Sus scrofa: one gene and its partner. The protein of the gene in region 2 binds, or shares a complex with, the protein of the main gene of each other region. Links are inferred from orthologs where the notes say so. Each region holds a gene or a part of one and is shown on either strand. Other genes may lie near its edges. The genes, in order: NXT1 and NXF1.

What was found.
Region 1: the proteins of NXF1 (region 2) and NXT1 are in contact, whole or in part, in a crystal structure (PDB 4WYK), measured with the Homo sapiens proteins. The link is inferred for Sus scrofa from reciprocal best matches to the Homo sapiens genes NXF1 and NXT1. Residues at the interface, in NP_006353.2 of Homo sapiens: Ala366, Pro367, Thr368, Thr369, Leu370, Pro371, Pro372, Cys373, Lys374, Gly375, Tyr377, His411, Gly413, Cys415, Cys416, Ser417, Leu418, Ser419, Ile420, Pro421, Phe422, Arg440, Asn441, Val442, Lys443, Lys444, Lys446, Pro448, Thr449, Arg451; in NP_037380.1 of Homo sapiens: Phe6, Lys7, Val10, Asp11, Cys14, Glu18, Thr44, Val46, Trp47, Asn48, Gly49, Asn50, Ala51, Phe61, Met64, Leu65, Pro66, Ile72, Ser73, Val74, Val75, Asp76, Cys77, Gln78, Pro79, Val80, His81, Glu83, Ala84, Thr85.

The regions. Positions count from the first base shown.
Region 1 is NC_010459.5:30,336,906-30,341,460, reverse strand, and holds the start of NXT1 (NTF2-related export protein 1), read right to left. Parts: upstream 3,083-4,555; 5' UTR 2,739-3,082; intron 455-2,738; 5' UTR 411-454; coding exon 1-410.
Region 2 is NC_010444.4:8,968,539-8,973,126, reverse strand, and holds the start of NXF1 (nuclear RNA export factor 1), read right to left. Parts: upstream 3,060-4,588; coding exon 3,032-3,059; intron 7-3,031; coding exon 1-6.

The DNA of each region.
Region 1 (4,555 bases), on a different chromosome or scaffold from region 2:
TCCTGGAAGCGGAAGCAATCACTGGCGATCTTCCATACTGCGTTGCTGGGTGAGGCCTGGGCCGTCAGGATGAAGTTCTGGTTGAAGTCCCGCTGCTTGTTGCCCTCAAACTTCACCGTCCCACAGATGACCACGAGGACAGTGGTCTGGCTCGGTGTGGCGTCGTCGTGGACAGGCTGGCAGTCTACCACGTTGATCTGGAACTCGCTGGAAGGCAACATCTCAAAAAACTCACTCAAGGATTCTTGTCCCGAAACGGCATTGCCGTTCCACACCAGGGTGGCAGTGCCTGTGTACAGGCGGGACAGCAACCTCCGCCGCTTGTCCATGGTGCTGTAGTACACGTTCACAAACTCCTCGGCTGCGCGGCAGGCCTGGTCCACGTAGGTCTTGAAGTCCACGGATGCCATCTCCGGCCTCCGCCCAGGTGCCTCCTGTTCCTGGGGGAGCCAGGCTGTGGGGCAGGAAAGTCGAAGAGAGCCTGTGTGAGTGCCAGCGTCTTCTGCTGGTGGCAGAACAAATACATACGGTGGAGAGGATTCCAGAAGACACTGGTGCCGATGCCTAGTCTTACTGCGCCTCAGTTTGCTCGTTTTAAAGTTACTGTGCGTAACTGAATGTAGGAATAGACAAAGCAGTGTACACCGCACGCTGACAGAAAAAGCCTGAGACCCACACATTCACAAGTGGCAGCTATTACTATGAATTCTAATGAACTCATTTTATAAGCTACAGGCCATCTGACTATGGAAGGCTGCTTTATCCTGGCAGAGAGGAACAGGTGTGGCTGCCCTGGAGAAGCAGGGAAGCAGTGTACCCCGTAAAGACAGTGCACCCAGGAAGGGAAGAGAGGCCCAATTAAGGCCAGCCAGCCAGCAGAGCTCAGCTGATGAGTCTGGGGCCATCTAGTATGAGCTCAGCCACAGGGCCTGGGGAGCGAGGAGAAGGCAGGTTTCTTAAGAGAACAAATGCTACGAGGACTGGACAGGACCGCTATGGTGGCTGCAGTCCTCATGCTGCTGGGCACTGAGGAGCGAAGCTGGTGCTGACTGGAATGAGGGAGGATGTGCAGATCCTAGGAGCACAGGGAAGCCCTGAGTGCTAATGAAAGTAGGCAGGGGCCAGACGGAGATTCTATGAGGTGCAGGGCGAAGGGGTGGTGGCAGCAAAAAAGAATTTTGGCTGAAGCCAAAATGTCAACTTCCTTTATAAACAGTCCAGAGGAAATTCCCTGGTTGCCTAGTAGTTAAGGATTCAGAGTTGTCACTGACTCAGGTTCGATCCCTGGCCCAGAAACCTCTGCAGGCTGTGAGAATGGCTTAAAAAAATAAAAAAAGAAAAAGAAAAAAAGTGCCCAGCAATATAGATACCCATTATTAGAAACATCTTTGAGTTCCCTGGTGGCTCAGTGGGTTAGGGATCACTGCTGTGGCTCTGGCTACTGCTGTGGCATGTGTTTGATCCCTGGCCCGGGAACTTCCACTGCCAACTGCTGTCCCCCGCCAAAAGGAACAGCACAAACAACAACAAAACCAGTCCAAAAGCATAAGGAAAAATTATTACTTGCTTTTTTTCCGGGTATGGTACAACTGTTCTGTTCTTTTTTTGCATGATTAAAACATTTCACCACACAAAAATCAAACAGAGGACAACATTACCAAGATAGTGAATATGTTTAGATTTACAAACTTAAATATTGAATATTTTTTCGTTTCAAAGACCTTAACTTAAAAAAAAAAATCAGGAGTTCCCACCATGCTGCAGTGGAACAGCGGAAACAAATCCGACTAGGAACTGTGAGGGTGCAGGTTCCATCCCTGGCCTTGATCAGTGGGTTGAGGATCTGCTGTTGTGTGAGCTGTGGTGTAGGTTGCAGACATGGCTTGGATCCTGCGTTGTTGTGGCTGTGGTGTAGGCCGGCGGCTACAGCTCTGATTCAAACCCTAGCCTGGGAACCTCCATGTGATGCAGGTGTAGCCCTAAAAAGCAAAAAAAAAAAAAAAAAAAAAAAAAAAAAAATCAGCTCATGTAATAGATAAAAGACCCCAAGTAGGGCTGGGAAGAAGTCAGGAACGCTTAAGGGCTAAGGAAGGTGGAGGCCTGAGCCTCCAGGACAGAACTGGCGAGGCTGGAGATAGATCCCTCCAGAAAGGGGCCTGGGGGCCAGGCGCCCACGCGGGTTCTGCCACCCCCTCCTGAGGATCTCAAGTCCGGCTCTGCAGACACTCACTTGTAGCTCCTATTTTCTAGCGCTTAACATTGCACCACGTCTTTCAATGGTCCCCAGAATGGACGAGGCGTTACTGTAACAACTTCGCTAATGAGAAAAGAATACTTAGGTGTGGATGAGGGTCCGCGTGGGCACACCCCCATCTGTCATCTAAGAACACGATGTTGGGACGGTGCTGTCCTCTCACTGACTCCTGCCTTTCTGGGGTCAAATGTGCGGGCACTCGTTTCCCGAGGGCTAGTTTATAATCCGTCCCCCGCCCCGCCCCCACAGGCCTGTCTCCCTCGCTGGACTCCCCCTCACCCGGCTTCTACGCGATTCCCCGGTACCTGGGTTCCCTGCCTCCGCGGACACAGCTCAACCTGCCGCCCACCTGGAGGGTCTGCAGGAAGAGAGTCATTCCTGCGGGGCTGTAACCTGCTTAAGTCTCGCGGCAGGACCAGCCTGCATCCCCACAATGCGGGGGCAGAGGGTAGGGGGGGCACCTACCGGCACGGAAGACACCTACCTGAGCGGGGGGAACTACCTGAGCGGCAGGGGCAGCGGGGCGGCGGCCCTGGTCGGCGCCGGTCAGCGTGGAGATATGACCCCAGTCAGCGGGGGCCTCAGTCAGCTGGGGTCGGCGTGGGCGGCTCTGGTCACGCGGGCCGCGGCTCCGCGGGGACCCCCCTGACGGTCTGGCCTGGCCTGCCGAGTCTCCGCGCTCCTCCGCCGCTTGCTTGAAGGGGCCGGGAAGAGCCCCCCCCTCCGCGCCCCTTCCTCCCGGGACCTGCCGGGTCTCGTCCGCGCCTCCGCGGGTTCCCGCGCGGGGCCAGCCAGGTCGGCGCAGACGCGAGCTCCAGGCCCCGCCCCTCCCTGTGACGGGCAGCTGTATCAGCCAGTGGGACGGCGGGGCCGGAAAGCCCCGCCCAGGTGTGGCTCGAGGCCTCGAGGCTTCCGGGAGAGGCGCTTTCCCAGAAGACCACAGCAAATCCGCGCTTGAGTCTTAATTGGTTCATCCGGGTCACTGACTCCGGCGCAAGGTAGATGAGGCCCCTGATTGGGGTCTCCGGCACTGGGGGCGGGGCTGTCTCGCGGCTGCGCAGAGGCCTCTAGACAGGTGAGGTTTACTAGTGCTCTGCGTTTTCCCGGCGTCTCTATGGTCAGCTTACCTAGCGCGCACCTTTGCCTGTTTTCCTAAGAGGACCCTTGCTTTCAGGTGTCAGGACAAGTTTAGAAACTGGGGCGGGGGGGGGGGTGCTCTACAGCATAGGTGACCTCCCACTTAAGTAGTCAATCATTTGGATTATAAAAAAATAAAATGCTGGCTGAGTAAAAAGCGTGAACTGAACTAACACTTCTGGAGTGGTATTCACTCTTCAATGTCTTTACAAAGCCCAAGCCAGTGAAAATGGAGTTTAATGTACAAAACTCTGAATGACCGTATGACTGGAATGAAAACGGGAGTTGACCTCCCCTATGACCCCTGGATTGGATGTCCTGCTGCTTTTGAGTTTCTTTGTTTCTCATGTAAGCCCTTTTCATTTCATTCTCATACCTTAGGCGGAGATATAATCATCATTCCTGATTGTATAGACGAGGAGGCAGAGAGATACAAATTAAATGACAGCTTGGAGTCACAGAACGCCTTCAGACCTAGAAAAGATGTTTAGGAGGGCATTTATCCTGCTCTGAGTTCTTCGAAAACGCAAGGCTTTAACGCTGAGAGGCAGCAGAGTCAGCAGCAGGAGAGTGAGAGGGCAGGAAACTTCTAGATTTGTGTCACCAGCAAATTGTTTCTGACCCACAGCAAGAGTTTTTGTCTTTTTGTCTTTTTAGGGCCACACGCAAAGCATATGGAGGTTCCCAGGGCTAAGGGTCTAATCGGAGCTGTAGCCGCAGGCCTAGGCCAGAGCCACAGCAACAGCAGATCCGAGCCCCCTGTGCGTGTGACCTACACCACAGTTCACGCCAATGCCAGATCTTTAACCCACTGAGTAAGGCCAGAGATCGAACCCGAAACCTCATGGTTCCTAGTCAAATTTGTTTCTGCTGTGACACGACTGGAATGCCAATAAATATTGTTTGAATTAGCAGACAGTCCTGGGTTCAACTCATTGCTCCATAACATTCTAGTTGTAATGACTCTTCTCTATCAGTTAACCCTCTCCTCTTGGAAGCAAGCCTGGTTTTTACTGCAGCTGTGGTGCTTGAGTTGGGAGGTTAGAGATACCTTTGGCTCTAAGCGCCCAATTCTGGGGTAGTAGAATGCCCAGTTAGGGCCACTGAACCTAGAAAAGGAGTTTGCCAGGGGACTGGGGGAAAGATGCTATTTCTCCTTCTGGA
Region 2 (4,588 bases):
CGTGCTCTGGGGTTGGAAACGGGACACAAATTAGAAAATACATCCCTGGTTCAGCTCCCCTACTGGGCGATCCCAGTATCCAGCACCCTGCACTACCAGACAGGAGACACACAATCACGACAGAGCCCACCTCCTGGCAAACTCCTCTGCCTGGCCAGGGAAAGAACCTTCTCCGTGGGATGGCAGCAAAAGGGAAACATCCCTGGAAAACTGTGTATAAGGCTTTAGAAAAATGAAGCAGAAACTGGAACTACAAAGGAGAAGCAGAATGTGGAAGTGCGAGTGTCCCGAGCAGTAACTGGACACAACTCACACTCGGTCAGGTCACCTGAAAACTGCCTGCTCTCAAGTGCCCAAGTCTACTTAACTCCACTGGAAATGTGGTCAGTGATTATATCTTGGGAAACCAATCACAAAGGAAAACCAATCACAAGGGGAAAAACCAATCTCAATGATTACATCAGCTCTGGTAAACAGGACTCTTGCCTATAGAGCACAAATGTCAGTTACAAATATGACCAATTTAAGACCTTTTTTTTTTTTTTTTTGGCTGCACCCACAAGGCATACAGAAGTTCCCAGGGCAGGGCTCAAACCCATGCTGCAGCAGTGACAGCATCAGATCCTCGACCTGCTGAACCACCAGGGAACTCCACAAGCATCTTCTAAAGTCTTGTTCTCCTCTCAAAAGACTAAAAATAGAACTACCATATGACCACCAGCAATTTCACCCCTAGATATACATCTAGAAAGAAATATATAATGCAAAAAGATTCATGTTCACGGTAGCACTATTTACAGTAGCCAAGCTATGGAAGCGATCCTAGTGTTCACCAAGAGACTAATGGATAAAGATGTGGTGCATACACACACACATAACGGAATACTATTCAGCCATCAAAAAGAATGAAATCTTGCCATAGTTGCAACATGAATGAACTTGCAGGGTATTACGTTTAGTGAAATAAGCCAGAGGGAAAAGGACAAATACTATGTGACATTACCTGCAGGTGGAATTTAAAAAAATAAAATGTATACAGCAAAACAGAAACAGACTCACAGATACAGGCAACAAACTAGTGGTTATGAGGGGGAGGGGCAAGATAAGGCAAGATATGGGATTAAGAGATACAAACTACTAAGTATAAGAGAGATAAGCCACAAGGATCTGTTGTACGGCACAGGGAATGACAACGATTATTTTCCAATAACTTTTAATGGAGTGTAATCTATAAATACAGGAATGACTATGCTGTACACCTGAAACCAACATTACATTGTAAATCAACCTTCCTCAATTTAAAAAGATTTAAAAAAAAAAAAATCTTGCTCTCCAACTGCCACTCTCAAGTGAATGTGAAGTGTGAGTGACCCAGAGTAACTGGACACAATTCGAACCCCTCAAAAGTCACCCGACATCCGCTTTCTGTGGGCCCACCCAAATCTACTTAACCCCGAGGTGACCCCTCTCACAGGTGGCAAATCCGTCCTCATGATTACACTAGCTTTCGGGGAAACAGCTCTCCTTTTGCCCATACAATACAAACACCACACACAGATAGGACCAATTTAAGGGCTTCTTTTAAAAGTCTTATTCTCAAACTGCCACTCTGAACGTTTGGGAGTGAGCTCTTTGTTTTCTTGGTCAGAAAAGGCTTTTAACTAAGGAGACAACTCCTGAATTCAGGTTCCAGTGGCAGTTAGGATGCTTCACCAAGGGTCCTCTCCAAGAATATGATCCTCTGAACCCTGGTGTGTAGGAAGCGCTTCTTAAAAAAGACCCATGAAGGAGTTCCCTGCGTGGCTCAGTGGTTAACGGACCCAACTAGGATCCATGAGGATGCGGATTCAGCCCCTGGCCTAGTTCGGTGGGTTAAGGATCCGGCGTTGCTGTGGCTGTGGTGTAGGCCAGCAGTTACATCTCTGATTGGACCCCTAGCGTGGGAACTTTCATATGCCTCGGCTGGGGCCCTAAAAAGCAAAAAAAAGAAAGAAAGAAAAAAAAAAAAAGACCCACGATACAGATGGCCTACAGGCACATGAAAAGATGCTCAACATCACTAATTATTAGAGAAATGCAAATCAAAGCCACAATAAGGTAGCACTTCACACCAATCAGAATGGCCAACATTAAAAAGTCCACAAAAACAAATGCTGGAGAGGATGTGGAGAAAAGGCAACCCTCCTACGCTGTTGGTAGGAATGAAAACTGGTGCAGCCACTACGGGAAAGAGTATGGAGGTTCCTTAAAAAACTAAAAATATGAGTTTCTCAAGAAGTTACCCTAGGAAAAAAGTAATAAATGCACACAAGTCGTTGCTAACATTCACTGAGCACTCTTCTCCAGTGTCAGGCACTATGCTCCAGGCACCTGACATGAATGATCTCGTTTTAACACACACACACACGGAGACAAACTCAGAAGGCTGGTACTGTTTCTATCCTCATTAAGGAGATGGAAAACGAAGTCTGAGGGTGTAAGTTACTCAAGCTTGGCATAGCCAACTCGGGATTGAAACCTCGGCTCCTAACCACCGCTCTGGACTAAAACTCAGTGTAGTGTTTGGACCAGAACATCGAGTTGATGTGCAGATCTAAAATATTAAGCCTAAGCGACAGACGCGTTAGGTGGGGGAGGGGGCAAAATCGCCTGGACGCGCGGTAGAAAATAGGGCACATCAGCCCAGGAGAAGGGCACTGACTCACATTAAACAGTTTGGCCGCCAAATTGAACTGACAGGCATCAACCACCCACAAAGTTCAAAGGAATCTCATCACCCCACCACTGAGCCACCTCTCCGAGTCGCAGGGGCCCGCAAAGGGAGGATCCCAGCGTCAACAACCCCGGCACCCAACCCTCAAGCTCACCCAGGCCCCCGGGCTGCCTCGCCCCGGGCCCGCGCCGCGCCACCGCCGTTCCCCGTGGACGCCGGGCCCCTCGCGGCCTCACGCCCCGGCGCTGCGGCCTAGGCTGGCGCAGCCCAGCAGGGCCCAAGATCGACCGGCTCCCCGACCCAAGGGCCAGCACTGACCGTTGTATGACTTCCCTTCGTCCGCCATGGCGCAGCGAGCAGGGGCGGGCTCTGTCGCGGCCCGCGACACCGGCAAACGTCCGAACGCCCAGGCTCTCCCGGCTGAAGTGCTCCTACGCCGGATGCCGCCGCATTTATGCGGCCAGCGCGTCGCGCGCAGCCGACGTCCCACGGTGATGGGCGGAACCACTGGGAGACGCGCGTGCGCATTCGACGAGCGGACTAGCCGGGGGCGGGACTTGGCGTTGCACGCCCCGCCCAGGACCTGAGCTTGGGAAGCCGAGTTACCGCGGGTTCGCCGGCCCCCTGCTTTCATCCACCCCGCCGCTAGTAGCTCTCTGCTGGAGCACCTCCAGGGTCAGCGGTGAAGCGGAGAGGTGGCTACTGCAGCCCAGGATTCCGAGAGGAACAGGGAAGAGGGGCTACAGGAAGGGCTTCCGAGGAGTGGGAGACCAGGCCCTTAGGAGCGGGAGTGACCGCACATAGACACCTAGAAGGATCCAGCCAGGGCAAGTCTCAGCTCAGCCCTTTGACACTTGCAGATCTAGGCCTCGGTCTCCTCGCCTATAAAATGAAATAGAAAACTAACGGTAAACTCCTAGAGAGCAGGGGCTTGATTAATTCACGGCTTTTTCTCTCCGGCACCTGACTGGATACCATACTTAGCACGCACGCAGCAGGAACCCAACATATATTTGTGAAATAACTACTGATCTATGCATTCCCTCCGAGAGAGTTGCAATCAAAGGAGAGAAAAACGGCATTTGCCAGGCTTTGGCTGTCTTCACAAACCAACCCACCCACCAACCCACCGGGATGTGCTATGCTAAACCCACGTCTTGTGTCAACTGGGCAGTGAGGAGGCCAGCCTGACCACACGCTGAACACAGGCCAAAGGGAGAGGAAATATTAAAATGCCATGGCTAGGAAAGACCTGGGCTCTCCTGGACCCCTCAAAGTACTGGGGCCAGCACAGTGTATAGTGACTGTTGTCTCTACAGCTTGAGCTTCCTTTCGGGTGTGTGAAGTGGGGGAACTCCAGTGATGCAGGATGATGTGGTTCTGGGTCCTGGTCAGGACTAGAAAGCATATTAACCTCCCTGGAGGGTGGGTGTTCCAGGCAGGTCACTCCTTCATTCTTCTGACTGGCTTGGATGTGGTGAGGGGCTTCAAGGGGACCAAGAGCCTCAGCTGGAGCTGGGAACGGATTCTTCATGTCACCTTCACTCCTAGCAGCAGGCAGGGCTCCTACTTCATCCAGCGCAAGTAAGTTTGGGGCCAAATGGTTGGAGCATGCAGATGAGACAGGTCCAAATACTTCTGGAGATGGTCCTGGAAGTTGCCGTCAATCAGGGACCCAGGCTGGGATCCTGTTACGGGCCTCTGAAGGGAAGTTTCCATGCTAACTAAGTGCTGCTACACCTGGAAACCCCCTGCGGGAGGCAGCTGTGTGCACAGAGTGAGTGAGCCTGGCCCGTCAGGGCCATCAGCCCAACCCTTTTAGTTATGATGCTGGGCAGTGGGCTCACTCCACTTGCTGCCAAGGCCCTTCGACGC